7 linked regions of the Oryctolagus cuniculus genome follow. The protein of the gene in region 4 interacts with the protein of the main gene of each other region in a pairwise test. Links are inferred from orthologs where the notes say so. Each region holds a gene or a part of one and is shown on either strand. Other genes may lie near its edges.

Evidence for each region.
Region 1: the proteins of CCDC136 (region 4) and HDAC4 interact in binary tests that used the Homo sapiens proteins (3 or more experiments, as listed by UniProt). The two-hybrid records come from large-scale screens. The link is inferred for Oryctolagus cuniculus from reciprocal best matches to the Homo sapiens genes CCDC136 and HDAC4.
Region 2: the proteins of CCDC136 (region 4) and JMY interact in binary tests that used the Homo sapiens proteins (3 or more experiments, as listed by UniProt). The two-hybrid records come from large-scale screens. The link is inferred for Oryctolagus cuniculus from reciprocal best matches to the Homo sapiens genes CCDC136 and JMY.
Region 3: the proteins of CCDC136 (region 4) and RAB33A interact in binary tests that used the Homo sapiens proteins (3 or more experiments, as listed by UniProt). The two-hybrid records come from large-scale screens. The link is inferred for Oryctolagus cuniculus from reciprocal best matches to the Homo sapiens genes CCDC136 and RAB33A.
Region 5: the proteins of CCDC136 (region 4) and HMG20B interact in binary tests that used the Homo sapiens proteins (3 or more experiments, as listed by UniProt). The two-hybrid records come from large-scale screens. The link is inferred for Oryctolagus cuniculus from reciprocal best matches to the Homo sapiens genes CCDC136 and HMG20B.
Region 6: the proteins of CCDC136 (region 4) and ASB7 interact in binary tests that used the Homo sapiens proteins (3 or more experiments, as listed by UniProt). The two-hybrid records come from large-scale screens. The link is inferred for Oryctolagus cuniculus from reciprocal best matches to the Homo sapiens genes CCDC136 and ASB7.
Region 7: the proteins of CCDC136 (region 4) and PDLIM5 interact in binary tests that used the Homo sapiens proteins (3 or more experiments, as listed by UniProt). The two-hybrid records come from large-scale screens. The link is inferred for Oryctolagus cuniculus from reciprocal best matches to the Homo sapiens genes CCDC136 and PDLIM5.

Annotation. Positions count from the first base shown.
Region 1 is NC_091434.1:1,667,491-1,670,990, reverse strand, and holds part of HDAC4 (histone deacetylase 4), read right to left. Parts: intron 1,427-3,500; coding exon 1,342-1,426; intron 623-1,341; coding exon 481-622; intron 345-480; coding exon 305-344; 3' UTR 1-304. UniProt on the Homo sapiens protein: Responsible for the deacetylation of lysine residues on the N-terminal part of the core histones (H2A, H2B, H3 and H4).
Region 2 is NC_091445.1:3,019,643-3,023,718, reverse strand, and holds the start of JMY (junction-mediating and -regulatory protein), read right to left. Parts: upstream 2,801-4,076; 5' UTR 2,406-2,800; coding exon 1,566-2,405; intron 1-1,565. UniProt on the Homo sapiens protein: Acts both as a nuclear p53/TP53-cofactor and a cytoplasmic regulator of actin dynamics depending on conditions. In nucleus, acts as a cofactor that increases p53/TP53 response via its interaction with p300/EP300.
Region 3 is NC_091453.1:107,859,340-107,863,251, reverse strand, and holds the end of RAB33A (ras-related protein Rab-33A), read right to left. Parts: intron 1,091-3,912; coding exon 635-1,090; 3' UTR 501-634; downstream 1-500.
Region 4 is NC_091434.1:164,996,392-164,999,891, forward strand, and holds part of CCDC136 (coiled-coil domain-containing protein 136), read left to right. Parts: intron 1-2,672; coding exon 2,673-2,996; intron 2,997-3,500. UniProt on the Homo sapiens protein: May play a role in acrosome formation in spermatogenesis and in fertilization.
Region 5 is NC_091447.1:59,467,388-59,471,320, forward strand, and holds the start of HMG20B (SWI/SNF-related matrix-associated actin-dependent regulator of chromatin subfamily E member 1-related), read right to left. Parts: upstream 2,801-3,933; 5' UTR 2,768-2,800; coding exon 2,705-2,767; intron 2,480-2,704; coding exon 2,424-2,479; intron 2,094-2,423; coding exon 1,985-2,093; intron 1,675-1,984; coding exon 1,471-1,674; intron 933-1,470; coding exon 812-932; intron 723-811; coding exon 676-722; intron 286-675; coding exon 213-285; intron 1-212. UniProt on the Homo sapiens protein: Required for correct progression through G2 phase of the cell cycle and entry into mitosis. Required for RCOR1/CoREST mediated repression of neuronal specific gene promoters.
Region 6 is NC_091443.1:9,946,838-9,950,337, reverse strand, and holds part of ASB7 (ankyrin repeat and SOCS box protein 7), read right to left. Parts: intron 2,573-3,500; 5' UTR 2,453-2,572; intron 265-2,452; 5' UTR 214-264; coding exon 3-213; intron 1-2. UniProt on the Homo sapiens protein: Probable substrate-recognition component of a SCF-like ECS (Elongin-Cullin-SOCS-box protein) E3 ubiquitin-protein ligase complex which mediates the ubiquitination and subsequent proteasomal degradation of target proteins.
Region 7 is NC_091439.1:71,014,178-71,018,463, forward strand, and holds the start of PDLIM5 (PDZ and LIM domain protein 5), read right to left. Parts: upstream 2,801-4,286; 5' UTR 2,647-2,800; exon of another isoform or gene 2,517-2,646; intron 1,940-2,516; exon of another isoform or gene 1,658-1,939; intron 1-1,657. UniProt on the Homo sapiens protein: May play an important role in the heart development by scaffolding PKC to the Z-disk region. May play a role in the regulation of cardiomyocyte expansion. Isoforms lacking the LIM domains may negatively modulate the scaffolding activity of isoform 1.

The sequences.
Region 1 (3,500 bases), about 160 Mb from region 4:
GCATCGACTGAATCCGGCAACCCTGCCACGAGTCGCCGCAGGCCTCTGGCGGCTTCCCTCCTGGGAGCCGGCGGTGTGCCTGGCCTCCGCGTGTCCGTGTGTCTGCTCGCTGCCGTGTCTGTCCCGTGCTCCGCGGGACGCTGCCAGGCCCGCGTGTGGGCGGCAGAAGGGCTCCCGCTGCGGCCACGCGCCTGCGCCCCAGCACTCGAGGGGGCACCGCGGCAGACGCGGGTGAGCGGGAAAGTTTCTTGGCTGAGCTTCAAGACAGAGACAAACAAACAAGGGAACAGCGCCTTCCAGAGCGCTACAGGGGCGGCTCCTCCTCCATGGGCTCCTCCTCGGGTCTGCGTGGAGGGGGCAGAGGGGAGAGAACCACAGGGCCGTCACCGCAGGGCCCGGCCCGGCCCCGCCCCGGCCCCGCCCCGGCCCCCTGCTCAGGGCGGAACCTCTCCCAGGCTCTGCCAGGGCCCGCGAGCTCACCTCTTCTCGGCCGGCTTCACGCCCACGGACAGCGAGGCCATGGCCGTGACCGTCTCCGCCTCCTCGTTCTCGCACTTCTGCGCCTCCATCAGGGAGTGCCCGGCCGTGGAGGACAGGCGCTGCAGGCAGCGCCAGTACTTGCCTGCGGGCGGGGAAGGCGCACTCAGGACCAGGCAGGAGCTGTCGCAGGGCCCGGGGTCTCGCGAGTCAAAAGCACCTCTCTGAAGCGGCAGGCCAGCCCACTCGTCTGGGCAACATTTCCGGGTAGCCAGGGGCATCGAGCCTGCCTGGGATCACCTGGCGCTCCCTCCGCACCTACAGGTCCCCGCAAGTGCAGTGACTGACAGACCTGGGGGTGTGCCCGGGGCTGGGAGCGGCTCTGGGCCAGGAACCCGGGAGCCGATGTCTGGGACCTCGTGGGACTGGGGGTGGGGGCTCCCGTGGGGCCCCTGCCTTGGGACTGACAGACGCTGGGGGTGTGCCCGGGGCTGGAAGCGGCTCTAGGCCAGGAACCCAGCCCCCGCACAGGCACACCGGGAGCCGATGTCTGGCTTTACCCACCTCTCGGAGGGCCTTGCCCACTCGGGTCTCCGAGACCCAGAGATAAACAGGGATCTGCGGCGCGGACACGTGTGAGACAGGCGAGCCGGCAGGGGTCCCCCAGGGCCTGTGCTCACAGGGCAGTGGTAGGAGGTTGCCCTGCAGCCCCCCACTCGGGCCCCCAGCCCTGGGCTGCCCGGCGCTGCTGGGGCCCCCGCTCTCTGGCCTGTGCAGTGGGGTAATGTGTCGTCACGGGAGGCTGTGGCTGCTTCTACCCGCTCAGCAAAGGCCAGCTGACAGCGGCTGGGCCCGACCACTCACTGTGGATGTCCATGACCTTCTCCATGGAGCGGACGGCGTTCGCGTTGGGTCTCTGCTGGACCACCTGCTCGGGCAGAGGGTCGAGCTGGAAGAGAGAGGGACACACAGTGGCTACCCAGCCAACGTGGCTGTCGCAGCACGGGGCCAACCCTGCCCCTGCCCGCTGCCGGGCCGTTCGTGGAGTGCGTCTGCCCGCAGGGAAGAGGACACTCAGAAAGGCTCACGTGGCCGCGGGAATCTATTAGCTCACTTCCTCCCGGCCTTGGCCGCGGGCTCCCGGCGCTCCTGCCGGCAGGTGGAGGGAGGACAGGGCCCGGGCGCGAGCTGCTGCCTGCTCTCCGCCCCCGGGCCACGCCAGGGGAAGCGGTTAGTGTGCTTTAGGAGCATCGTGTTCCTCTCCACCCGCTCTGCTCCCGCATCTCCTGCAGGCCGCTGGTGGCCATCCCCCCACCTGCCCTCCTGGGCCCATCCCCTGTTGGCACAGAATGACAGGCAGAGGCGAGTCCACAGGGACACCTGTGAATGACCCAGGGGCCAACCGGGGAGGTAAGACTCCTCCACGGAGAATCCTGATCACTTGTACACCACCCCTGCCCCTGCCCCGTCCCTGGTGTGGCTCGGCTTGGAGCTGGTCTCTGAGCTGTGCACGGTGACTGGGGCTCAAGGAGGAGGCCAGCACAGAGGAAGCCGCCCAGGAGGGCACTGGCGCGAGGGCTCCGTACACCTTAAAACCTCCCAGAGATCAAAAGTTAAACGAGCTGGTTTAGACCCCCCAAGACTGCAGTCACTGAAACCGTCAGTTACAACTTAAAACACGCTTACTGCACTTCAAACACACAGGAAAACACTCATGTGTGAGGAAAAGCCAGAGAGTGCGGTACCTGACCTGGAAGACTTGGGGGAGGGGGAAGGGGAGGGGGAGAGGGGGAGAGGGGGAGAGGGAGAGAGGGAGAGAGAGAATGAATTAGCAATCCAAGCGTGGCAGCAGAAAGCTGGGCACGCGATGAGACCAGACAGGAGAACACCGTGTGGAGGGGCACCCGAGGCAGTGGCCCAGAGCAAGCCCAGAGGGTGGGCTGTGGGGGTCTGTGCGGCTGCCCGCAGGTCCTCAGGGAACAGGGAGAAGGGACGAGGGGCAGCCAGACACGGGGCTCCGGCCCTGGGGCCTGCAGCCTGGGAGAGGGGCAAGACCCGGCAGGCAGAACAGGAAGGGAAATCCATGCCTAGGCAGGATGGCGACACCAGGCGGACAACCTCAGGGGCCGAGGGAGCCGATAGGCACGCGGGCATGCCGCAGGAAGCGTGGCCTGGTGCTGTCGGTGCAGCCAGAGAAGCGTCTGCGCTGTCTGGAGCTGGCATTGCAACCAGCATCCTGGCTGCTCGGCCTCCAGTCCCAGCTCCCAGCTCCCGCGCCTGGCAAGCCGAGGAAATGGCACAAGTCCTTGGGCCCCTGCACCACATGCAATGCGCTGGATGGAATCTGGGCACCGGCTTAGGCCTGAACCAGTCCTGGCCACTGTGGCCACCTGGGGAGTGATCCATCAGATGGAAGACTGATCTCTCACAGTCTCTCTCTTTCTGCATTTCAAAAAAATAAACAGGGGCCAGCGCTGTGGCACAGCAGGTGGAGCTGCCGCCCGCAACACCAGCATCCCATAAGGGTGCCAACTCGAGTCCCGGCCACTCCACTTCCGATCCAGCTCCCTGCTGATGGCCTGGGAAAGCAGCGGAGGATGCCCCAAGTGCTTGGGCCCCGGCACCCACGTGGGAGACCTAGAGGAAGCTCCTGGCTTCAGCCAGGCCCAGTCCTGACTGCCGTGGCCATCTGGGGAATCAACCAGAGAATGGGACATCTCATTTTCTCTCTGTAACTCTGATTTTCAAATAAATGACCACAAAGGAAATGGGCTGAGTAATGGTCAAGTGGAACTAGGGACGTGTGGCTTGCAGGGAGCGAGTCACAGCCAGCCTCATGCCCTTTGCAGAAGCAGCGTCTGCGGCCCGAAGGGGCTGATGGTCAAGGACAAGACCCCTGGGTCGCAGTGCTGGAAGACGTGGCACACGGGGTGCAAGGCAAGCACCACGTGCACGCGGGCAGGGCCCCTCTGCCACGACGAGATGCACGCAGGCAGACGGGGGTAAATCTGCCTCCACGGGGG
Region 2 (4,076 bases), on a different chromosome or scaffold from region 4:
TTTTAATTGTTTCCCAATGGCCTTAAAAAGTTAATTTTTTTTCTGTTGAAAATTTTACAGCCAATAGAATCTTAACTAGGAAAACACACTACTTAAAAATCTACAGTCACTCTAACAAGTCTTAGAAAACTACAGTTTCCAGAAGCTCACTTTCGACCTGCCTGAATTTAAAAACCACAGCCCCCTTTCAGTGTATCATTAAAGCTAGATGAGACAGGCCTACTCAGCCAGGGATTTAGAGTCTACTATGTATCTCTCTAAGTCGAGTAAAAAAGCAGCCCTGACCTTACTGCTGCCGCCAGGAAACCGCACAGAACGCTACAGCAAATCCTCCTGACACTTCCTTCCAAAAAGATGCTAGGGCAGACAGAGCCCAGAAGAGAAACAGCGAATTGCAGTCACATTTAGCACAAAGCAAACCCGTGGGAAGGAGCGAAAATCCGGATTCGGAAAGCGATAAGCGTACCGCGGTGTGAGGGGACATTTACTGCAGTCTAGCGCAGAACACCGCCCGGTACTACAGGGGAGCCGGGGGCTCGGCGCCCCGGCCCCCCGCGAGCCCCAACCAAGCCTTACACGCACCCGGGCCCATCTAGAGGAGAACACCGCCCGGTACTACAGGAGAGCCGGGGGCTCGGCGCCCCGGCCCCCCGCGAGCCCCAACCAAGCCTTACACGCACCCGGGCCCATCTAGAGGAGAACACCGCCCGGTACTACAGGAGAGCCGGGGGCTCGGCGCCCCGGCCCCCCGCGAGCCCCAAACAAGCCTTACACGCACCCGGGCCCATCTAGAGGAGAACACCGCCCGGTACTACAGGAGAGCCGGGGGCTCGGCGCCCCGGCCCCCCGCGAGCCCCAACCAAGCCTTACACGCACCCGGGCCCATCTAGAGGAGAACACCGCCCGGTACTACAGGAGAGCCGGGGGCTCGGCGCCCCGGCCCCCCGCGAGCCCCAACCAAGCCTTACACGCACCCGGGCCCATCTTGAGAACACCGCCCGGTACTACAGGAGAGCCGGGGGCTCGGCGCCCTGGCCCCCCGCGAGCCCCAAGCCTTACACGCACCCGGGCCCATCTAGAGAACACCGCCCGGTACTACAGGAGAGCCGGGCGCTCGGCGCCCCGGCCCCCCGCGAGCCCCAAACAAGCCTTACACGCACCCGGGTCCATCGTGCACAGGCCACAGGCTCTCCCGTGCACCTGAAGCTACGGAGGCCTGGCCTCACCTGCCCCGCGTACCTGCCTCCCGCTGCGCCCGCACTGACGCCCCCTGCCCCACGACCCTCGGTGCGGGCCAAACCCGCGCCGCCGCCGAGGGCTGGGGGCACCCGGCTGTCAGCGGCTCACGCGCAGAAAAGCGACCTCCAAGTCGGCTCGGGGCGCCCCGGGCGCACGGCGGCGGCACCCCCGTTCTCGGAGGCTCCCTCCGCGCCCCACCAGGCCGCGAGCGGACCCGGGGAGGGAACCCACACGCTTCCCAAGAGCCCGTCAGAGACCCAATTCAAGACGGCGAAGGGGGGACGGGAGGCAGCGGGCCCCGGCGCCCTGACCCGCGCGGCGCCCACCTCCTGGATGCGCTTCCGCGCCCGCTGCAGCACCTCCTCGTAGCCCTTCTGCCGCAGCTCGCTCAGGCTCTCGTAGTACTCCTCGGGGTCGTCGCTCTCCGTGAACAGCACCTGCGAGAGGATCTTCCAGCCGCAGGTGTCCAGCCCGTGGCCCAGGTACACCTGCAGCTGGTAGCACAGCGCGTCCACCTCCTGCTCGGTCATCTCGGGCGCGCCCCCGAACAGCACGGTCCACATGCCCGACGGCTCCTCGGGGAACACCGGCAGGCACGGCTCCAGCTGCGAGTTCACCGAGCACAGCTGCTGGTGCACGGCGCGCAGGTCCTGGAAGGAGAAGAGCCCGGCCCAGCTGCACTCCTCGGCCGCGGGCTCCGGCTCGGCGGCGGGCGGCGGCGCCGCGTCCGCCTCGTCGTCACGCACCAGCTCCAGCACCTCGATCTCCTCCGAGGCCGCCCCGGAGGCGCCCACCACGCGCACCGTGGACGCCGGGGCCCCGCGAGGGCCGGCCTCCGGACAGGCCGCGCCGCGCCGGGGCCCGGGGCTGCGGAGCGGCGCCGCGGCGGCGGCGGCGGCGGGCGCCGCGGGCCGGGCCCTGGCCGCCGCGCCGCCCTGGCCGCGGGCCCCGTCGGCCTCGGCCCCGCCGGCCCGCGCGGCGGCCTGCTCCCGGGAGCCGCTCCTCTGCCGCTGCGCCGTGCGGTTGTGGCAGGTGATGGCGAACTTGCCCTCCACCTCGTTCCAGGCCACGATGAAGACGAACTTGTGCTTCTCGCGCCCGTCGAACACGTGAGGCCGCACGGCGACCCAGTCCGACTCGAGCGTCTCCTCGAGCGCGAACGACATGGCTCCGGCGCCGCGCCCGCTCACGCCCGCCGGGACCCCGCAGCCATCTTAGCGTCCGGCCCGGCTCCTTTGTGGCGCGGCTCCGGGGCAGACAATGCGCGTCCCGGAGCAGGCGGTTCACATGGTCCCGCGCGGCCGGGTCTCGGGCTCGGCCCGCGGCCGCCTCCCGCGCGAGGCCGCCGGACCGCGTCCGGGGGCTGAGGAGCCGGGGCCCGGGCCCGGGCCGGCGCCGTGCGTGTGTCCGCGCTGGCCCGGCCGGCCTGGCCGCCGCCGCCGCCGCCCCTGCGCCCGCCGACCTCCCGGAACCCGCCGGACAGAACGCCGCGTCTGCTAAACTCGGCGCCTCAGCATCGCCACAGTGTTGCCATTCGGCTGCTGACGTCGGCGGCTCCACGAGGGACGTAAACACGGGCACGTGCCGCACGCTGGTGACGCGGCGGCGGCGGCGCGCGCACCCGCCGCCCGGCCCCGCCCCCGCCCCGCCTCCGGCCCCGCCCGCGCGCGGAGGCCCCGCCTCCGGCTCCGCCCCTGCCGGCGCGCGGCGGCGCTCCCGGCTCTCGCGGTCCGCGCGCAGCCCCGCCCCCCGGCCCTGGAGCCCGCGGGGAGCGGCAGGTGCGCCCTGCGCACACACGGGGAGTCTGCGCCCCGCGGGGAAAGGGGCGCAAAGACGGAGGACCAGAGGCGTTTCGAACTCTGGGACCCTCGGCTGTCGGCCTGTCTGCGCTCGCCCGGAGGGAGGCCGCTGAGACCCGAGAGGGCCGTGTGCCGGGCTCCGCGGCCCCGAGTCTCGAAGGGGTCCGAGCCGGCCAGTGGATCCAGCACGAGGCGCAGTGAGCCGCAGGTTCGCCTCCCTGGCGCGCTGTTTGCGTTCCCCTTGAGGCCTCTGTGGCCCGGGTAGCGCTGCTGCGCGCCCCCTGGGAGGTCAGCGGGCGCCGGCCTGCACCCCGCTTCCATTCCCGGCAGCGCGGACGCGGGCCTAGGTCCCGGTGCCAGTGCTCCGTCAGGACCCTGGAAACTGTCCCTTTTGGGCTTCGTCCACGTTTCCGTCTTGGTGCCAGACCGACTGCAGTAGCCTCCCAGGGCCAGCGGCGCGCAGGTCCGAGTTGTTCTGGCATCCTGGACGTTTAAGACAAATGGTTCTTTACTTTTTAGAGATGCGTTTCAAAGGCGGAGAGAGACAGGCAGGGACAGACAGAATCTCTTGGCCAGCCGGTCACTTCTCAGATGCAAGCAGCAACCGGCCTGGGAACCCTATCCGGGTCTCCAAGCGGTGGCGGGGACACCAGTCCTTGAGCCATCGATGCAGCTCCCATGGTGTTCACTAGGAGGAAGCGGGGCCAGACGCTCCCGTGTGGGAGGGAGGTCTCCCGTGTGGGAGGGAGGTCTCCCGTGTGGGTGGAGGTCTCCCGTGTGGGATGGAGGACTCCCGTGTGGGATGGAGGACTCCCGTGTGGGATGGAGGTCTCCGTGTGGGGTGGAGGTCTCCCGTGTGGGATGGAGGACTCCCGTGTGGCGTGGGGGTCTCCCGTGTGGGATGGAAGACTCTGTGTGGGTGGAGGTCTCCCGTGTGGGATGGAGGACTCCCGTGTGGGTGGAGGTCTCCCGTGTGGGATGGAGGTCTCCGTGTGGGGTGGAGGTCTCCCGTGTGGGATGGAGGTCTCCATGTGGGAT
Region 3 (3,912 bases), on a different chromosome or scaffold from region 4:
CTTAGCTTGAGCCCTGCTGCATCCAAGAAAGGTGGGTGGGGGGTGGGAGGCATGTTTTGGTGGCTGAGACTGTTTGGTGAAAAATGGGAAGCAGGGTCTAACCACCCTGGAAGCAACTGGGCCCCTTAAGGAACAGGCACTTCCTATGTTTTAACTGTGAGAAATAGGGAGAGGGTAGCCTATCTGGGCATCCCAGACACACATGGAGGGAGCCTAGGAAACAGGCTCCTTTCTCAGCTTCTCTACCCTGCCACCTGCACTGGCTCTCTAGAAAAACAAATTGCGCCTTTGTCCCATTCTCACCGAGAGTTTCTGCCCACTGATGATGCCAAGCGACAGAGTGGATCAGTCGTGAGGAAGTGACTCAAATGAGGAACAGTTTAGGTAGCCCAGACAGCCGGTGTGGCGTGTGTATGTCACGCGAGCCAAAAAGCAGTCTGGCTCTGCCACTCATCACAATTGGAAATATCTTCTCAGAGGAAAGCAAGACATAAAGCCAGTTGATAATCTATACAAATTTTATTTTGATATCAATTTGTATGGAAACAAGCAGGTGTCAGCATGATGCAGGCACGGAAAAAAGGGAAAGAAAAAACTCCAGTGATAATTGATCTTGTATGTACACCATTGGGTTTCAACAAGGACAGGAAGTCTTACTGTTAGCTTCCCGTGGGAACTCCAGTTTCTGCACCTTCCCCTGCTGCCTGTCAGCATCACGATACAGCAGCGATTTCTGGGCCTTCAACCGGCAAGCCAGGCACATGAAAATCGACTCCACGTTCTGACTCTCTTTGGGGTCCTTGGCTGATGTCTCAAACAAGAGCATGTTGTGGGCATCGGCAAATTTCAGGGCTAAATTGGAGGGCACCTGGATCTGTTCCCGCAAGTCACACTTGTTGCCCACAAGCACTTTCGGGACGAGTGGGGGCACTGCATGCCCATTGCACTCTTGGATCCACATTTTCAGGTTGGTGAAAGATGTCATCTTGGTGACGTCATAGACAAAGACCACTGCATGCACATTGCGGTAGTAATGCTCAACCATGCTTTTACGGAAGCGTTCCTGACCCGCTGTGTCCCACACCTGAACCTGGAAGATACAAAAGCCAACACGCAGAGTCAGGAAACAGGAGAGACGTGGTTCCGCAGCAGTATAAAACACGAGGTTACAAGTCCTGACAAAGGAAGTGCTTCTTTCACAGATTAGCAGCATGGATTTATCAAAGGATGAAGCGAAGTTTCTGGGTTTGGCAAGCTTTTCTCCAGGTGGTTAGTTGAAGGGCGGGCGTTCTGCCCAGTCTGGCCTGCATCATGTTTCCGAATGCCTGGGTTCAAGTCCCAGCTCTGCTCCTGATTCCAGCTCTGGCCATTACAGGCATTTAGAAAGTGAACCAGGGGATGGGGGAGTTTCTCTCTCTCTTCTTACTTATTTTTGACAGGCAGAGTGGACAGTGAGAGAGAGAGACAGAGAGAAAGGTCTTCCTTTGCCATTGGTTCACCCTCCAATGGCCGCCGTGGCCGGCGTGCTGCAGCCGCCGCACTGTGCTGATCCGATGGCAGGAGCCAGGTACTTCTCCTGGTCTCCCATGGGGTGCAGGGCCCAAGCACTTGGGCCATCCTCGACTGCACTCCCTGGCCACAGCAGAGAGCTGGCCTGGAAGAGGGGCAACCGGGACAGAATCCGGCGCCCCACCTGGGACTAGAACCCGGTGTGCCAGCGCCACAAGGCGGAGGATTAGCCTAGTGCGCCACGGCGCCGGCCCTTCTCGCTCTCTCTTTCTCTCCTTCTCCCTCTCTCATTAAAAGAATATTGCCAATTGAAAACCACACATACAATAATGATGACCATTGACAATATTTTAATAGAATCCAATGCAGCCTTAGGAGACGAGCAGCCTCCAGCCTTCAGCTCTTCAACAGGTGACCTGAGTTCACAGCAGACGTCCGATCCAGCCCCCTGTTAATGCACCTGCGAAAGCAGCAGAGAATGGCCCAAGTGCTTTGGCTCCTGCACCCACGTGGGAGACCTGGAAGAAGCTCCTGGCTCAGCCCTGGTCATTGTGGCCATCTGGGGAGCGAAGCAGCATATTGAAGATCTCGCTCTGCTCTCCCTCTCTGTGTAACTCTGACTTTTAAATAAATAAATAAATCTTTAAGAAGTAAGAAGGATGGAGGTCAGCATTATAGCGCTGTGGGTTAAACTGCTGCCTGCAAGACCAGTATCCCATATGGGTGCTGCTTCAGGTCCCGGCAGATTCACTTCCCATCCAGCTCGCTGCTAATGACCTGGGAAAGCAGCAGAAAATGGCCCAAGTGCCTGGGCCCCTCCCACCCACGTGGGAGACCCGGATGGAGTTCTTGGCTCCTGGCTATGGCCTGGCCAAGCTGGCTTTTTCTGGCCATTTGGAGAGTGAACCAGCAGATGAAAGGCCTCTTTATCTCTCTGCCTCTCCCTTTCTTTCTGTCACTCTGCCTTTCAAATAAATCTTTAAAAACATATACAAAAATCTTTGTATGCTATGGTTACAATTTTTTAAACTATTAAACTTAGACATATGCATAGTAAATCAAAACATTAATATTTTTTATTCTTTAATTTTTAAAAATATTTATTTATTTATTTGAGAAGCAGAGTTACAGACAGACAGAGGGGGAGAGAGAGGGAGGTCTTCCATCAGCTGGTTCAGTCCCCAAATGGCCGCAACAGCTGGAGCTGGGCCGATCTGAAGCAAGGAGCCAGAAGCTTCTTCCAGGTCTCCCACGTGGGTGCAGGGACCATCTTCCACTGCTTTCCCAGGTGCATTAGCAGGGAGCTGGATTGGAAGTGAAGCACCCAGGAATTGAACTGGCACCCATATGGGATGCCAGCGCTGTAGGCTGTGGCTTAACCTGCTACAGCACAATGCTAATTCTATTCCTTAATTTTTAAAAACATTTTTATTTATTAATTTGAAAGGCAGAGAGAGACAGAGACAAATATTTATAGAAAGAACTCCTGTCCACTGGTTCACTCCCCAAATGCCAGCAACAGCCAGGGCTGAGCCAAGAATGAAGCTGGGAGTCAGGAACTCAATCCAGGTCTCCCACAGGGGTGGCAGGAACCTAACTACCTGAGCCATAACCTGCAGCCTCCCAGGGTCTGCATTAGCAGGAAGCTGGAGTCAGGAGTTGCAGCTGGGTATCGAGATGCTGCATGTAATCCAAGGGCCCAACTCCTGCCTCCCATAAAAGGTTATTTATGGACAGTGGGACTGTGGGTGATTTTTATACTCTTTTATGTATTTTCCAAGCTTTCTACTGTAAGCATGCATTGCTTTGTTTTTCATTAGTTTTTAAAGGAAGCTAGTGTTAAAAATCTCACATTTTAGGGGCCGGTGTTGTGGCATAGCAGGTTAAGCCTCTGCCTGTGGCACCAGCATCCCATATGGACGCTGGTTTGAGACTCAGCTGCTCCACTTCTGGTACAGCTCTCTGTTAATGGCCTGAGGAAAGCAGTGGAAGATGGCCCAAGTGCTTGGGCCCCTGCCATCCATGCAGGAGACCCAGAAGAGGCTCCTGGCTCCTGGCTCCTGGCTTTGGCCTGGCCCAACTCCCAGCCGTTGTGGCCATTTGGGGAGTGAACCAGTGGATGGAAGCCCTTTCTCTCTCTCTCTCTCTCTCTCTCTCTCTCTCTCTCTCTCTCTCTCCCCATACACACACACACACACACACACATATCCTCCTCTCTCTAATTCTGCCTTTCAAATAAATTTTTTTAAAACTCACATTTTAACTCTCTCTCTATATATTTTTAATTAATTAATTAATTTGAAAGGCAGAGTTACAGAGAGGCAGAGGCAGAGAGAGAGAGGTCTTCCACCTGCTGGTTTACTTTCTAGATGGCCGAAACGGCCAGAGCTGCGCCAATCCGAA
Region 4 (3,500 bases):
TGTTTACTGGGCCAAGCCCAGGGCCCAGAGCTGTTCCTGGTGAGCGGCGCAGCCGTGGGCCCCACCTTCCTACGGCTTGCAGTGCTGCCGGAGGTAGACCAGCTGCACACGCGGGCGCGAGGAGAGTATTTCTTGCAGGACTTGGCTGTTGAGGAGCTGTGGGGAGAGCCTAGGAAAAGTGGAGTAGATGAGCAGAGACTGGGGACAGGAGATGAGGAGAATGTGCCCGTGGGAAGGTCCTGAGCCGCCCAATCAGTCCTGAATTCCCCCATCCTGGCCCCCAAATCCTGAGTTCCTATTAATAGCTATGCCTTTAAAAAAAAAAAAGATTTATATATTTGAAAGAGTTACAGAGAGGTAGAGAGAGAGAGAGAGGTCTTCCATCTGCTGGTTCACTCCCCAGATGGCTGCAATGGCCGGAGCTGAGCTGATCCAAAGCTTCGTCTGGGTCTCCCATATGGGTGCAGGGGTCCAAGCACTTGGGCCATCTTCTACTGCTTTCCCAGGTCATATCAGAGAGCTGGATCAGAAGTGGAGCAGCCGGGACTTGAACCAATGCCCATATGGGATGCTGGCGCTGCAGGCCAGGGCTTTAACCCAGTACGCCACAGTGCTGGCCCCACTGCCTATGCCTTTTACTACCTTTCCTCTTTTAGGTTCTGTCAATCCCAGATGGGTTCCTGTGTCCAGAAGCCCTGAGATGCTGCACAGATGCCGAGAGCGCTGACACATTTTTCTCTCGTGAGCCTCTGTGTATTATAAAACACAGGCCTTGTGAAAATTCACACAGCGCAGAAACATAGGAGGTGGAAAGTCCACATCCCCGTCATGTGCGGCACCGCTCAGGAGCAAGGCTCTGGCTGGTCTGGGACGTAGATCTTCCCAGGCCTGTTTCTGTCTTTGTACATTTGTGGGTTATATATGTCTCGTAAAGGTAACTTTTGCAAGAATTAGATAATACCATGCATTTTGTAGCTTGTTGTTCTTCTAGTTAATATATTGTGGAAACCTCAGATCTTCAGTGTAGAGCTGCCACTTTTTTTTTTTTTTTTTTTTTTTTTTGGCAGGCAGAGTAGACAATGAGAGAGAGAAAGAGAGAAAGGTCTTCCTTTGCCATTGGTTCACCCTCCAATGGCCACCGCGGCCGGCGCACTGTGGCCGGCACACTGCGCTGATCTGATGGCAGGAGCCAGGTATTTATCCTGGTCTCCCATGGGGTGCAGGGCCCAAGCACTTGGGCCATCCTCCACTGCACTCCCTGGCCACAGCAGAGAGCTGGCCTGGAAGAGGGGCAACCGGGACAGAATCCGGCGCCCCAACCGGGACTAGAACCCAGTGTGCCAGCGCCGCTAGGCGGAGGATTAGCCTAGTGAGCTGCGGCGCCGGCCTGCCACTTTCTTTCAAATGGCAACATGATATTCCCTTCGTCCTCTGTCAATTTAAAAAGCACGTATCAAGTGCCATTTAGGTTTTCACTCTATGCTTAGTTATATGGTGAACTAACATGTGGATTTCTTTTTTTTTTTTTTAACATTTATTTATTTTTATTTGAAAGTCAGAGTTACACAGAGAGAGGAGAGGTAGAGAGAGAGAGAGAGAGAGAGAGAGGTCTTCCATCTGCTGGTTCACTCCCCAGATGAACACAACGGCCAGAGCTGCACCCATCCGAAGCCAGGAGCCTCTTCCAGGTCTCCCACGTGGGTGCAGGGGCCCAAGGACTTGGGCCATCTTCTACTGCTTTCCCAGGCCATAGCAGAGGGCTGGATTGGAAGTGGAGCAGCCAGGTCTCGAACCAGTGCCCATATGGGATGCCGGCACTTCAGGCCAGGGCATTAACCCGCTGTGCCACAGCGCTGGCCCCTAACATGTGGCTTTCAGCTGTGGACTCTAAATACGCAGTTGTTTTGGATCTCGTACTTACCACAGGCAGTTCGTGGGACCTCTGAGGCTCTATAATTTCCAAGCTCTCAGCTTGAGTGGGTGAAAATAATTTTTGTAAATTTTTTTTAACTAGGAGAATTTTTAGAAGTCAGGCCAGCAATAAAGCACTATCAAGTAGGGATAGGCATTTGGTACAGTGGTTAACTTGTCACTTGGGATGCCTGGCCTGCACTGGGGAGTGCCTGGTTCAAGTCCAGCCTCTGCTTCTGACCCAGCTTGCAGCTAACGCACACCTGGCAGGGAGCAGATGGTGGCTCAAGTGCCTGGGTCCCTGCCACTCACATTGGAGACCTGGATGGGGTTCTGGGTTCCTTGCTTTGACTTTACTCAAGTCTGGCTGTTATGGGCATTTGGGGAGTGAACCAGCAGATGGAAGATCTGGCTGTCTCTCTGCCTCCATCTCTCTCTGCGTTTCCAAGAACAATGAAAATAAATTTTTTAAATCTTAAAAAAAATAGCGTAAATTAAATTTGGTCTTTAACTGTCAGGTGTCTCCCAGGAAGTACTTAATACTCTTTGTTTACAGCAGCCCAAGTTGTTGCATTTGGTAGCAGGCCTCAAAATCTGCTTTTCTACTCAGCCTACCACACAGAGTCGCTCTGTTCCTTTTATTCCTGGACACTGGGGTGTCAGGAGTTTGCGGACAAGCCGTAAGTCCACCTTGAACTTTGTGCCGCCGGCACGCGGTAGACGAGCCGTCCCCCTGACCCTCTGCACCCTTGGGCTTGCAGGTGAGCTTCGCCATCTGCGGGAGGAGATCTCCCTGCTAGAGCGGGAGAAGGAGAGCGAGCTGAAGGAGATCGAGCGGGAGCTGCACTTGGCCCAGACTGAGATCCAGAGCCTGCGGCAGGCGGCGGCCGACTCGGCGAGTGAACATGAGAGCGACATGGCGTCGCTGCAGGAGGACCTCTGCCGCATGCAGACCGAGCTGGACGACATGGAGCGCATCCGGGGAGACTACGAGCTGGAGATCGCCACCCTGCGCGCCGAGATGGAGATGAAGAGCTCCGAGCCCTCCAACAGTTTAAGTCTCTCGGACTTTTCTGGGTTGCAAGGTAGGAGAGAGCGAGTTCTCCCGGCCAGAGGAGGGTGGGTAATGCAGAGGAAGGCGGTGGAAAAGTGTGCCGCTGGATGAGGAATTAGGAACCGCTAGGAAAAAGCCCTCCAGGTTAAACTTGAGACTGTGGGGCCGGTGCCGTGGCTCACTTGGCTAATCCTCCACCTGCGGTGCCGGCATCCCATATGGGTGCCGGGTTCTATTCCTGGTTGCTCCTCTTCCAGACCAGCTCTCTGCTGTGGCCCGGGAAGGCAGTAGAGGATGGCCCAGGTGCTTGGGCCCTGCACCCGCATGGGAGACCGGGAGGAAGCACCTGGCTTGAGACTGTAAGGGAGAACATGTACTCAGATGTTACAGTCATTCCATGGCGCTGTGAGAGGCGTGCATTGGGAATTCTACCCCAGAGAGCCTTTAGGGCTTTGTTGACCTGACTGTGGGGAAGCCCTCCTGCTGGGCTGTCCAGTTCTGGGAGGAGGGGAGAGAGCCGGGTCACCTTGGGAAG
Region 5 (3,933 bases), on a different chromosome or scaffold from region 4:
CGTGGGGGGCCGGGTCAGGGCTGGGGTCCCGCGCCCCGACCCGCACCGCGGGCCCTCGGGGCCCCGCCCCTCCCCGACCCCCGCCAGCCCGGCCCTCGGGGCCCCGCCCCTCCCACCCCGCCAGCCGGGTCCCCACACCCTCTCCCCACCCCCCGGAGAGCCCCGCGCCCCCTCCCCGCGCCCCCCCCGCGCCGGGACCACCGGGCGCCAACCTTTGTTTTGGTCCAGAAACTCCTCAGTGAAGATAGGGACGTCGAAGGCGGCCAGGCCGTCGCAGTCCCCGGCCTGGGTCGGGGGGCGAGGTGGCTATGCTGGGGGGAGCTCCCGGGGCACCTAGGCCTGCGCCCGCCCGCGGCTCCCCACACCCACCCGGCCGGCTCCCTGCCCCCTTCCCGTGGCTCCCCACACCCACCTGGCCTGCTCCCCACGCCCTCCCGGCCGGCTCCCCATGGCTCCCCGTGGCTCCCCGCCCCCTCCCGGCCAGCTCCCCGGGCCCTCCCGGCCGGGTCCCCGTGGCTCCCCGCGCCCTCCCGGCCTGCCCCCCATGGCTCCCCGTGGCTCCCCGCCCCCTCCCTGCCTGCTCCCCGTGGCTCCCCGCACCCCTCCCGGCCGGCTCCCCGCGGCACCCCGCACCCTCCCTGCCTGCTGCCCGGGCGGGCACAGGGCCGCGCTCACCTTGTACCCGTTCAACACGGTGTTCAGCAGCCCGGAGCCCGAGTCCTCTGGCGGGAGGGAGGGGCAGGGTCAGCGCCCATCACGCAGTGGCCTTGGCCATGGCCGGGCTGTGGCTCCGCCCCCACGCCCCGCCCACCTCTCTTGGCTTTCTTCTCCTGGATTTTCTCGGCGCACATCTGGTAGGCCTCGGACTGCTGGTAGGCCCGCAGCTCCCGCATGTACTGCTGCTTCTCGCGCTCCGCCTCGTCCAGGTACCGCTGCGGGTGGGCGGGCAGGTGGGCCCGAGCCCCGCCCCGCCCCGCCCCCGCTGCACCCTCGGTGGCCCCGGCCCGCACCCCACTCGCAACAGGCGCAGACCAGCGCTGGCCTCCGTCGGACCCGCCTGGGTTTTCCACATTTAAACTAACGCGCAAATCTGGGTTCAGCAGAGACCCGGCCCTGTCCGACCGGGCGGGCGCTGACCGAGGCCGGTGCCCCCTTCGGCCCTGTCCAACCCGGGCGGGCGCTGACCGAGACCGGTGCCCCCTTCGGCCCTGTCCGACCGGGCGGGCGCTGACCGAGGCCGGTGCCCCCTTCGGCCCTGTCCGACCCGGCCGGGCGCTGACCGAGGCCGGTGCCCCCTTCGGCCCTGTCCGACCCCGGTGGGCGCCGACCGAGGCCGGTGCCCCCTTCGGCCCTGTCCGACCCCGGTGGGCGCTGACCGAGGCCGGTGCCCCCTTCGGCCCTGTCCGACCCCGGCGGGCACCGACCGAGCGAGGCCAGCCAGGGCGCGCCGGGGCCCCTCGGCCGCCGCACCTGCTTCTCCGCCGGCTGCAGCTTGCTCCACTCGGCGCCCAGCATCTTCGTGATCTCGGGGAACGGCAGGTCTGGGTGGCGCGTGCGGATCTGCTCCCGCCGCTCGTTCAGGAAGCGCACGTAGCCGGTGACCGGCGCCTTGGGCCCGTTCGGCAGGACCTTCTTCCGCTTCTTGCCCTTGGGCCAGCCGCGCTTCCTGACCGGCTGCGGAACGGGGCGCGTGGGCAGGGGCCGGGGCCCCGAGAGGGCCAGGCTGGAGGAGGACCAGGTCCAAGGGGGCCTGGACCTGGGCAGGCGGACCGCGGGTCCCCTGGGGGTGTGGCTTCTGATTGTGGGCGTGGCCTCTGACAGAAAGAAGCGCTTATAGGCGGCCCAAAGGAAAGCTCCGCCCAAAGGGCGGGGTCACCGGGATGTGGGCGGGGCGAGGGGGGATAGTGGGACAGTGTTCCCCGGATACCGGGCAGTGGGCGGAGCCACAAGACTTGCACACGGGGCGGGCGGGCCCTGTGCTCACCTCCTCCTCCTGGGACCCCTTCTCGCCGGCCCGCGGGCCCTCGGCGCGCTCCTGCTTGACCGCGACCACGAAGCCCCCGTGTGGGCCCGGAGCCCTGCCGCCCGCCGGCCTGCAGCCACGGGGCACGGGGTCACCAGGGTCACGCCGGCCCCTGGAGCCCAGACCGCCGCCCGCCGGGGTCGGGACATGGGCAGATCGGGGAGGGGACGCAGAGGCGGCCTTGGGAGGACGGAGCCCAGCCGGGGGGCGCGGGCCGGGTCAGGACGGGAGCCCGAGGGGGCCTAGGAAGGAGCGGGGCTGGGGAAGGGGTGGAGGCGGGGCGGGGGCAGGAGGGGCTGGGGAGGGGGCCGGGGCAGGGCGCAGGCCGGGCTGGGGAGGTGGCGACCCGGGAGAAACCCTCCAAGGGGGCAGGGCGCTGGGGCGGGGGCGGCGCACTCACGCGGCGGCCGCGCCGGGCTGCTTGGGGCCGTGGGACATGGCGGCTCCGGGCCGGACCTGCAACGCAGACGCGCGGCGTCGGCGAGGGGCGCCCGGGACCCCGGGGGGTGCGCTGGGGGCGGGGACGCGCTCGAGGGCGGGCGCCGGGGGCTCCTTTGTTGGGCGATCGCCGCCCCCGGGGGCCCGCCCGGCCCCGCCCCCGGCCCGAGGCGGCCCCGGCCGCGCCCCGCGCCCCCCGCGCCCCCGCCCTGCGCGGGACCCCGACTTCCGCGCGGCTTTCACCTCCACAGAAACTTTCCCGGCCCTGGCGGCCGCCGCGACGCGCCAACCAACCGCCCCCGGCATGCTAATGAGGCCCCGGCGAGCGGCCCGATTGGCCGGGGCCCGCCCCGGGGGCGTGATCATGTAGATGAGGGTCGGCGCGCCGCTCGGCGATTGGCCGCAGCGGCTGCCGAGTCGCCGGGGAGGCGGGCCGGGGAGGCGGCGGGCGGCGCGTCAAGTTCGGCTGCGCGAGGCCGCGCTCGGGGCCAATCCCTGGCGTCCGAGGCCGCGCGGGGCGGAGCCTCTTAAAGGGCCAGCAGGCGCGCGCGGATCCGGGTTCGGCCCCGCCCCGGTTGCCGTGGGGACGCAGGGGGTCGCTAGGGCGAGGGGGCTCTGGTTCTTAGCACCCGCAGAGCTGGGGAGGGGGCCAAACCCGCCGTGGCCGAGAGGCTGGAGCGCTGCGTGGCCGAGACCGGGCCTGGGTCAGGCGGGGGCTGGACAGGCGACCTGGGCCGGGGTCAGGCGGGGGCTGGGCAGGAGACCCGGGCCGGAGTCAGCCCCATCTGCACGGCCGTCAGTCCTCGGGCACCCTGGGCACCTTGGCCGCCCCCCGCCCCATCTGCCTGCTCACGCACAGGTCCTCGCACAAACCAAGGGGCGAGTCCGGTGTCCACGGGGCGGGTGCGTGGGTTTGGGAGCGGCTGGCGCTCACGGACGGTCAGCCCGGCAGTCCCGGGGTGCGGCTGCGGGAGAACCTGCGCGAGGCTCCCCGCAAAACGGGACAGACGTCTGCGGCCCGGAGTGCGGGGCCGAGTACTTGCGGGCCCCGCAGACGTCACGCCGGGGAGCACGAACGCGCGTGGGGCCCCACGGCCGGGCAGGGGACTCCGCGGGGACAGGAAGGGGGCGTGGTCGCCGCGGCCTGAGGGAGGGGCTGGGCACTGCCTTCGGGGGTGACGAGAATGTTCTAAATTTAGACGGCGCAGACTGGAATCCACGGACGCCCTGAGGCTCTGCTGCGGGGCCCCGCCTCCTTGCTGTGATTGACAAGGCTGCTGTTGCCGTAGGAACTGCCCTGCGGGCCCCGCCTCCGAGCCGTGATGGACAGGCTGGCGTTGCCGTAGGAACTGCCCTGCGGGCCCCGCCTCTGTCCGTGATGGACAGGCTGGCGTTGCCGTAGGAACTGCCCTGCGGGCCCCGCCTCCGTCCGTGATGGACAAGGCTGGCGTTGCCGTAGGAACTGCCCTGCG
Region 6 (3,500 bases), on a different chromosome or scaffold from region 4:
ACCTCCGTGTTCCAGAAATACTCGAACACATCTTTCCTTTCCTCTTGCTGCGGAGAAATGGAGCAGCGTCCAGCCGTTGGCATCGCGGCCGTTCGGAGAGTAGCCTTGCTCGAGCATCTTCCGCACGGTGTGGACATCCCCAGCGGCCACCGCGGCCTGGATCTGCAATTCTTCCTGCAGCTCAGGGTTCCTTCGACAGTGGTGGTGTAACATCCTAGCTGAGTCCGCTTGTTACAAAGGAGTCATTAGGTCACAGGGATCAGCCTTGAAGGGCAGGTAGAAGAGATGAAATTGAGCGTACTTGGCGCCTGGGAGTTGTCCACTAGATATCTCAGCACTGTTCAAGGCCTCAATCAGAAATCCTTGGTAATGACCCTTCCTACTACTAGTGAACATGCGGCTGTTGAGACCAAAACTTTCGATTATTTCCCTAAGATTACAAACTATTTCAAAAGAAACAGCACTCTTATTCAACAAAAAAATCACTCACAGCAAACAGCCCACGAGCACGGCATGCGGGTTTAGCTAAGAGGGAGGAGATGCCAGGTAGCAAATCAGGTGAGTGCCCATCTCAGGAGCTCTCACTCACTGGACGCACCACAGAGGAGGTGGAGCTACAAGCCCGGAGGAGGTGGAGCTACAAGCCCGGAGGAGGTGGAGCTACAAGCCCGGAGGAGGTGGAGCTACAAGCCGGGAGGAGGTGGAGCTACAAGCCGTTCAAGGGTGCTGTCACTGATTGGAGATAGTCAACATGGAGCAATAAATGGACAACCCATTTACTGGGAACACCAAAGACAATGAAGGCAGTGGGTTAAAAAAAAAAAAAAAAAAAAGCCCCAAACAAAAACCTTTTGACTATTTCTCTCAAGTATTTCAACAACATTTTATCTTTAGCACAAAGCGAGGAAGGCTGGGTAGAGAAGTAGCAGATTAAGAAATCAGAATAAAATGTTGGGATGGGATTTATTTTCCTTTTATTGGTTTGTTTGTCTTTCTATCAGCGCTTCCCGCTTCCTGTTACTGTCTACACAGCCTCTGGTACATGTTTCTAAATTCTATTTTCCACTCCATAAATAATCAAAGTAGCAACAAATAACATACATTTTAAAACTCTGAGAATCTAAATAATCTGTCAATTAGCCCTACGATAAAATTATCTGAAAGGAAAGAGTAGCACACTGAATCCCTTCACTCACTAGGTCACAAGAAGTGTCAGAAAATGACATCGCCTTCATACCAAGTTCAGAATGAAACGGTGAGACGCTGCACGTGTGTGTGTGTGTGTGTGTATGTCTGTGCGTTACAAATTCAGTTCAGTGGGATTTTTTTTTTCTTTTTTTTTTTGACAGGCAGAGTGGATAGTGAGAGAGACAGACAGAGAGAAAGGTCTTCCTTTGCCGTTGGTTCACCCTCCAATGGCTGCTGCAGCCAGCACACCGTGCTGATCCAATGGCAGGAGCCAGGTACTTATCCTGGTCTCCCATGGGGTGCAGGGCCCAAGGACTTGGGCCATCCTCCACTGCACTCCCTGGCCACAGCAGAGAGCTGGCCTGGAAGAGGGGCAACCGGGACAGAATCCAGCGCCCCGACCGGGACTAGAACCCGGTGTGCCGGCACCGCAAGGTGGAGGATTAGCCTAGTGAGCCGGCGGCGCCGGCCCAGTGGGATTTTAAGTTAAGTACATACAGAAATCTAAACTAACTAGCTTCCAGGAAGTCATTCCAAACTGGGCTAATTTGTAGAAGACTAGACTCATCTCTTAACAAGTACCTTCCATTTCTAAAAATAGAAAAAAACAATTATGTGATAAAGCTCTTTAAAGACACTGTGCTCTCCAACGTGGATTCAGGATCTCAGGATAGTCTTGCTACTAACAGTAATGTATCTTGCAAAACCTCTCGTTACGGACTGCACACGGGTAAACGGAAGCCCAGCTCGGGTCGAATCATTACAGATGGCGTGTACAGGCACCTGATGGTGCTCTCAACAGAGTCGGGGTCTTCACTCAGCCCGAAGCGTCACTACCAAGTGGTGGAATTTTGTCACATGACTGCTATCGAGCGCCATTTTCTCCGAGAAAACCAGGAGATGAGAGACTTAACAACTTGTTTCCTCGGTAAGATTTCCCTCACTCCTTCACTTAATGACAAAACTAAAGTCTCGTCTCAGAAATTTTGAAAGAAAATAAGGAATCTTGTCGGAATAGGTCTTTCCTGATTCTTATCGTAGTCCGCGTGTTAAAGGCCATCAGAGGGAGTTAATGGGATCTACGGTCGCACGCTCAGACCATCATCTTTCAGATTCTGCTGTGGTGGCAGACCGGTCTACCGTGGCAGAGGGTGAATGCGGCGATGCAATCCTGAATTTTCTTCCAGCACACACTGGCTGGCTTAAAGGAAGAAACAGAAAGCTGAACAGGTGGTCTCCCAACACAGCCCCCGCGTCACCTCACCTGACGGAAGAATGTCCCCTCTCCTGGTATGTGGATTGCCTAGTAACCATTGTGCACATACAGCATGGTGGGGATGGGCTCAGTGTGCGTCCTCCGGCAGAGCCCCAGAGCCTTCTCAACCTGCAAGCAAACAGAGTAAGAACCGTGGGAAACTCCTTGAGCGAATCCAGAACCAGAGCTGCCCGCGGGGTCTCGGCACTTGACGGCAAATCCAGAGGGCTGCGGACGCAGATCAGTTCTTTGACAAAATGCTTTCGTCACTTACGTATTAATCTCCAAGATGAAATCAAACGTGATTTATTTTCAGGATCCCTCCCTCCCACCGGATGGCAGCTTTACAAAAAAGATTAAGTGAAGAAAAGAATAAATCACACATTCAGGACTTGTAGGTATGCACGAATTCTTCTTCCTCTGTTGAGAATATATTCCCAGACTGGCTCCACTTGTTTCTGACACCATGATCACCTATTCTCTCTAAAGAGGACTAAAACGAGAAAGCTTGTGCATTCGATACAGAAGGTGGCCGGCACGAAAAAGCAATCTGCGGTGATTCTACCTTTAAAAGCCACTCTTCGTGTTCTCCGAAGACACCAAGCCCCTCATGCTGAAACGGACTCCTCTATGAAGAAAGACGGCAGACTCAGAAAAACCTTAACAGTCTTGCCAGCTTCCCCGGGATTCTGAGAACACTCATGTGTATGGCGCGCTTCCTCCCTGCCGACGAAATCCTAGCTCTGCGCTCCACTAGGGTTAGGGCCACATGCACAGTGACTTCCACACAGCAGGAATTACGTATGGGAGCCCCGCCGCACCGCTGCGTGGTGTGTGGTGTGCCAAGCCCTCTGTCACCTGCACCTTCAGGAGAGGCAGGGCCAGGCCTCCCGCCGGCTGCAGGTCTCCATCCCGGCACAGGCACAGCCCCGTCTGCCTCGTCCTCTCTTCTCACCTGACTCTCCCTTGTCACACTTCTTCAGGGAAGGCAGAGAGCTTACCAACTTGTACTTGGAAACAGAATGGGATTTAAAACTCTAGTATTTCTAACTACATG
Region 7 (4,286 bases), on a different chromosome or scaffold from region 4:
ATTCATGCTTTCCAAACACTAAATCGTTTAAAACAGAAGATGCTTTCCTGTGCACAAAACTCTTTTCTCCAATCATGAACTACAACTCGTATTTCCACTTCCAGGGACATGGTATCTTCTATACTTAAAGTAATATTCACTTCTCCCTCAAATAGGCAATGACAAATGCTTGAGTATGGTGACATTTAGGCAGAAGCGGCTTTTCGTTTCATACACATTTCTCACAGGGAGGGGTGAGCACTCACTGAATACAACTATGACTGAATGCCATAGGACCACAGGGTTAACATTTACACATGAAACTGAACTGAGATTTAAAAAAGAATCAGCACCTCAGTGCTTTCTTTTTTTCCTTTTTTTTTTTTTTTTTGCTTGTGCTCCTAATGACTCTCAAGGTTGTACTTTAAAAAAAAAAAAACGAAGTCTGATTGGGTGTTTTGGTTTTTATAGGGATGGGAGAAATTGGGAGGAATGGAGTTTTTTTTTTTTTTAATGTAATACTAAGAAACATAACAGGTCTCTCCTTTTAAAAGTATTAAAAATATTAACAGGTGTATAATTTTAAAATTATTAAAAGACACTTTAGGAAGCAGCCATTTAAGACACACTTCCTTGGAAAATCTGAGCTGTTCAACCAAATTCACTTTATATTACCTGTCTTGACATATTTTTCCACTTTTTAACACACTGAAAATTACTATCCCTTCACACCAGATTCAGAGTGACAGATGCAGCTATTCAAACTTAAAGCAAACAGATTCCTTCTTCTCAGAAAGGGAAAATTAGACCCAACTTTCAAATAAGCCTGGATCTTAAAGAAAAATTAAATCAGGGAAAAATCTGCACTGTATCTACTTAGGCACTAAATGAGCTTTTCCATGGCGTGGAAGTACATTAAACTAGCAGGCAATAACACATTACTTCAGTACTGAAGTAGCAGACACAGGCACTAAAAAGACCCAAAGCCACGCCAGAAGTTAAACTGTTGCATGTAGGTGAAAAATTAATAGCGGGGAGGTGGTGTTTTCCTGCAATACAAAAGACGATCTTCATTAAAACTAGTAGCGTAGTCGAGAAAATCTTGCTATTGGCACACGTGACAAATCAGAATCATGTAAAGCCAACTGACTTTCGCAGGCTGCCTGCCCTCCTTTTTTTAATCTTTAACTTCTAGCAGGGGAAGTATGTGAACTTTAGGCTCAACTTCCTCTAGCCCATTCTTCCCTACAAGAAAATCTATTTAATTTATATATCAAGCCATCGACATGCAACTTCTCTTAACTTGGGGACTCCCTTCCTGACCTCTCCCACTTGTTGTCAGAATTTATAGGACCTGCAAGGTCACAGTCACAGGACGAGGCCAGAGTCTTTGCACTTGTAGCCAGCGACATCTCCAAGCTGGACTCTCCTGCTAGCGTCACCTGCAATTCATTTGCCTTCAAGACCTTCTGATCCCTAAGCCATGGCAATAGTTGTAGTGGTCTTTTCCGGGTCTCCTCCCTCTAGCTATTAGTGACCAAATCCTTCCTAAATAAGTGAGTCAGCAGGAAACAGCAACCTGCTTTGAAACACAGAAAACGTGGGGATTCCTTTCGGGTGAAGTCTACACACTAACTTCACTTTAGGACTAGGAAACTTGGTATTGCCACATTTGTACCCGAGCTTCTTAGGGTGGAGAACTTGCGATGATCTGCACCAAGTGACAAGTAGAGCCTGAAATTAGGAAGAAATATCTTGAGGTTCCCTCCCCCGGCCCCTGCCCTCCAATAGAGGGATAATGGAGCAGAGCTACAGAAGCCACAGGCGTAGGACGAAAAGTAGCCGACGAGACAGTTTCCAGCCGAGGTTCGCGCCTCGCCCTGTTGGCCAAATAAGGCTCCCGGGCGCGCTGCTTCCGTGGCAGGCGGGTTCAGACGTCCTCGCGGTCAGGGAGGCGGACCTGGGATAGGAGCCGGCGATCACACCCTAGACCTGCCCTGCCCAGCGCAGGCTACGGATTTTCTTTCCAAGTTCTGCCCAGTCCATACGCCCTTCCTTTTTCCACTTATTGTCAAACGCACCGCCTTGCAAAAGCCCCAACAATTAGGCAAGTTGTTTTTTTTTTTTTTTTTAACGAGCTTTATGTCTGGGCGCACAAGTTTTCCCTGAACAGGTTACACAACTGTAAATACTGGGGGTGGGGGGTGGGGATGAAGGATCCTCAGGACCCTGAGCGCACACACACACAAAAATAACTCACGTCTTCCCCCAAGGGGTTGGCGCAGGTCGTGGGGAGACCCGAGGCGGGCCGCCCAGCCACGCCGGCAGCCGGCAGGGGAAGGTCGGCGCGGCGGGGCTCAGGAGCCCCCCGGAGCCCGCCCGCACCACCCCCCAGCCTCCAGGGCGCTCCTCCCGGCCGACCCGAACTGCCAGGGCTAGCCCTACAGCCTCACGCCCACCCCCGCACTGCCTCTTCCCGGGAGCTCCTCTCGCCCTGGCCGCTCTCCCACCTCCGCCGCTCCGCGCCCAGAAAGCACCTGAGGAGCCGCCCCGGCCCGAGGTGCGCCCCTTCCTCCTCCTCAGCGAGCCGGCCCACGAGGAGACCAGCTTCTCCCCTCCTCTCTGCCACAGAGCCGAGACGCGCATCTGCAGCCGCCGGACACTCACCTCGGGTCCGGCGCGGCGCTGCCTCCGCCTCAGACGAGCGCTGACAAGTGACTGGCGGTGCGTGCGCCGTCCCCGCGGCCCGCGAGAACTTCCGCCTCCCGGCGCGGCAGCCCCGCCCCCGGCCCTGGGCACGCCCCTTCGCGCCAGGCCACGCCCCCAGCCGGGCAGCGCGGTGGGGCTCCGAGCCCTGACCCAGAAGGCGAAGGGGGTGCCCGGGGCGCGCGCGTGATGGGGCTGGCTGCAGCCGCTGCGGAAAACAATTGCGCTATCGAGTTTCGGTGGGAGTAGTGTGAGGGGATTTCAAAGGGGACCTGGCAAAGGGCTAACCTTCTGCGTGTCCGTTTTGCAGGAGGGTGCACTTCTCTGCCCAGAAAGTTGTATTGGCCAACAGTTGCTCTGGCTAAAAATAGAAGAGGACTTTGGCTACATCCCTATCTATGCAAGTTCAGCAGCTACCGCCTGGATTCTTCTGAGAGAAGTTGTAGGCTCCGAGAAGAGCAGACCCTGAAAGCTGCTTGTCGGGAAGGTGAAAATCGGTAGCCCTAATCTGCAGCACTGAAATCTAACATCGCGCGACAATGCTGCAACCACTTCATCTTGAACTTGTTTTTCTATATCCAGATCCATAACCTGCTTTCCTCCTTCTGAAAGTTTCCTCGATTTTGACGAGGAATTTATTCCTAGGCAAATGCGGATAATGAACTTGGAATACCCGGAAAGTAACTTGTAGATTCTTTTGCACTGCGAATTGCCTTGTAAATGTGAAAAGAACAATTCTTTCTTTCTTCCTTTCCCCTCCTTCCCTCCGTCCTCTCCCTCCCTCCCACCTTCCCTTCCTCCCCCCCTCCTTCTTTTTCCTAACAGAGAGATCTCCCATCCACTGGTTCACTTCCCAGATGCCCACAATAGCCAGGGCTGGGCCCAGAACTCCGACCTGAGCCATCGCACAGCATTTTCCAGGATAAGGGAACGGGAGAAAGGAAACTGGATCAGAAGCAGAGCCAGGACCAGAATCCAGGCGCTCAGATTGCTGCAGTCCCAAGTGGCCTCTTAAGGACTGGGCCAATTAAACTTCCCTTATAGGAACAGCTCTTAACCAAGCGACATGGAAGCAAGGCTGAACTTGGTGAGGTCTTTGAACCCTCTAGAAGTGACAACAAAAGGTTCAAAGCTGCTATGTCCAAATCAGTAGCCACACGTTCAGTGGCTGTTGGACAGTTGAAACATGGTTACTGCAACTGGAAAACGGAAAGGGTTTTCTTGCTTTATATCAGTTTAATTAATTGGACATTTTAACTAATTGGAATTTCCAAATTGAAGCAGAATTATCTCCATTAAACACAACTTTCTTTGGGGAGGACTATATTTCACTCTACTGTTGAAAATTCAGTGCCAGTGGAGGATGGCTCAAGTGCTTGGGCCCCTGAACTCGCATGGGAGACCAGGAAGAAGCACCTGGCTCCTGGCTTCGGATCTGCACAGCGCTGGCTGTGGCGGCCATTTGGGGAGTGAACCAGCGGAAGGAAGACCTTTCTCTCTCTCTCTCTCTCTCTCTCACTATCAAACTCTGTCAAAAAAATTTTTATTTATTTATTTGAAAGGCAGAGTTATAGAGAGAAAGAGAAAGAGAGGGTGAGAGA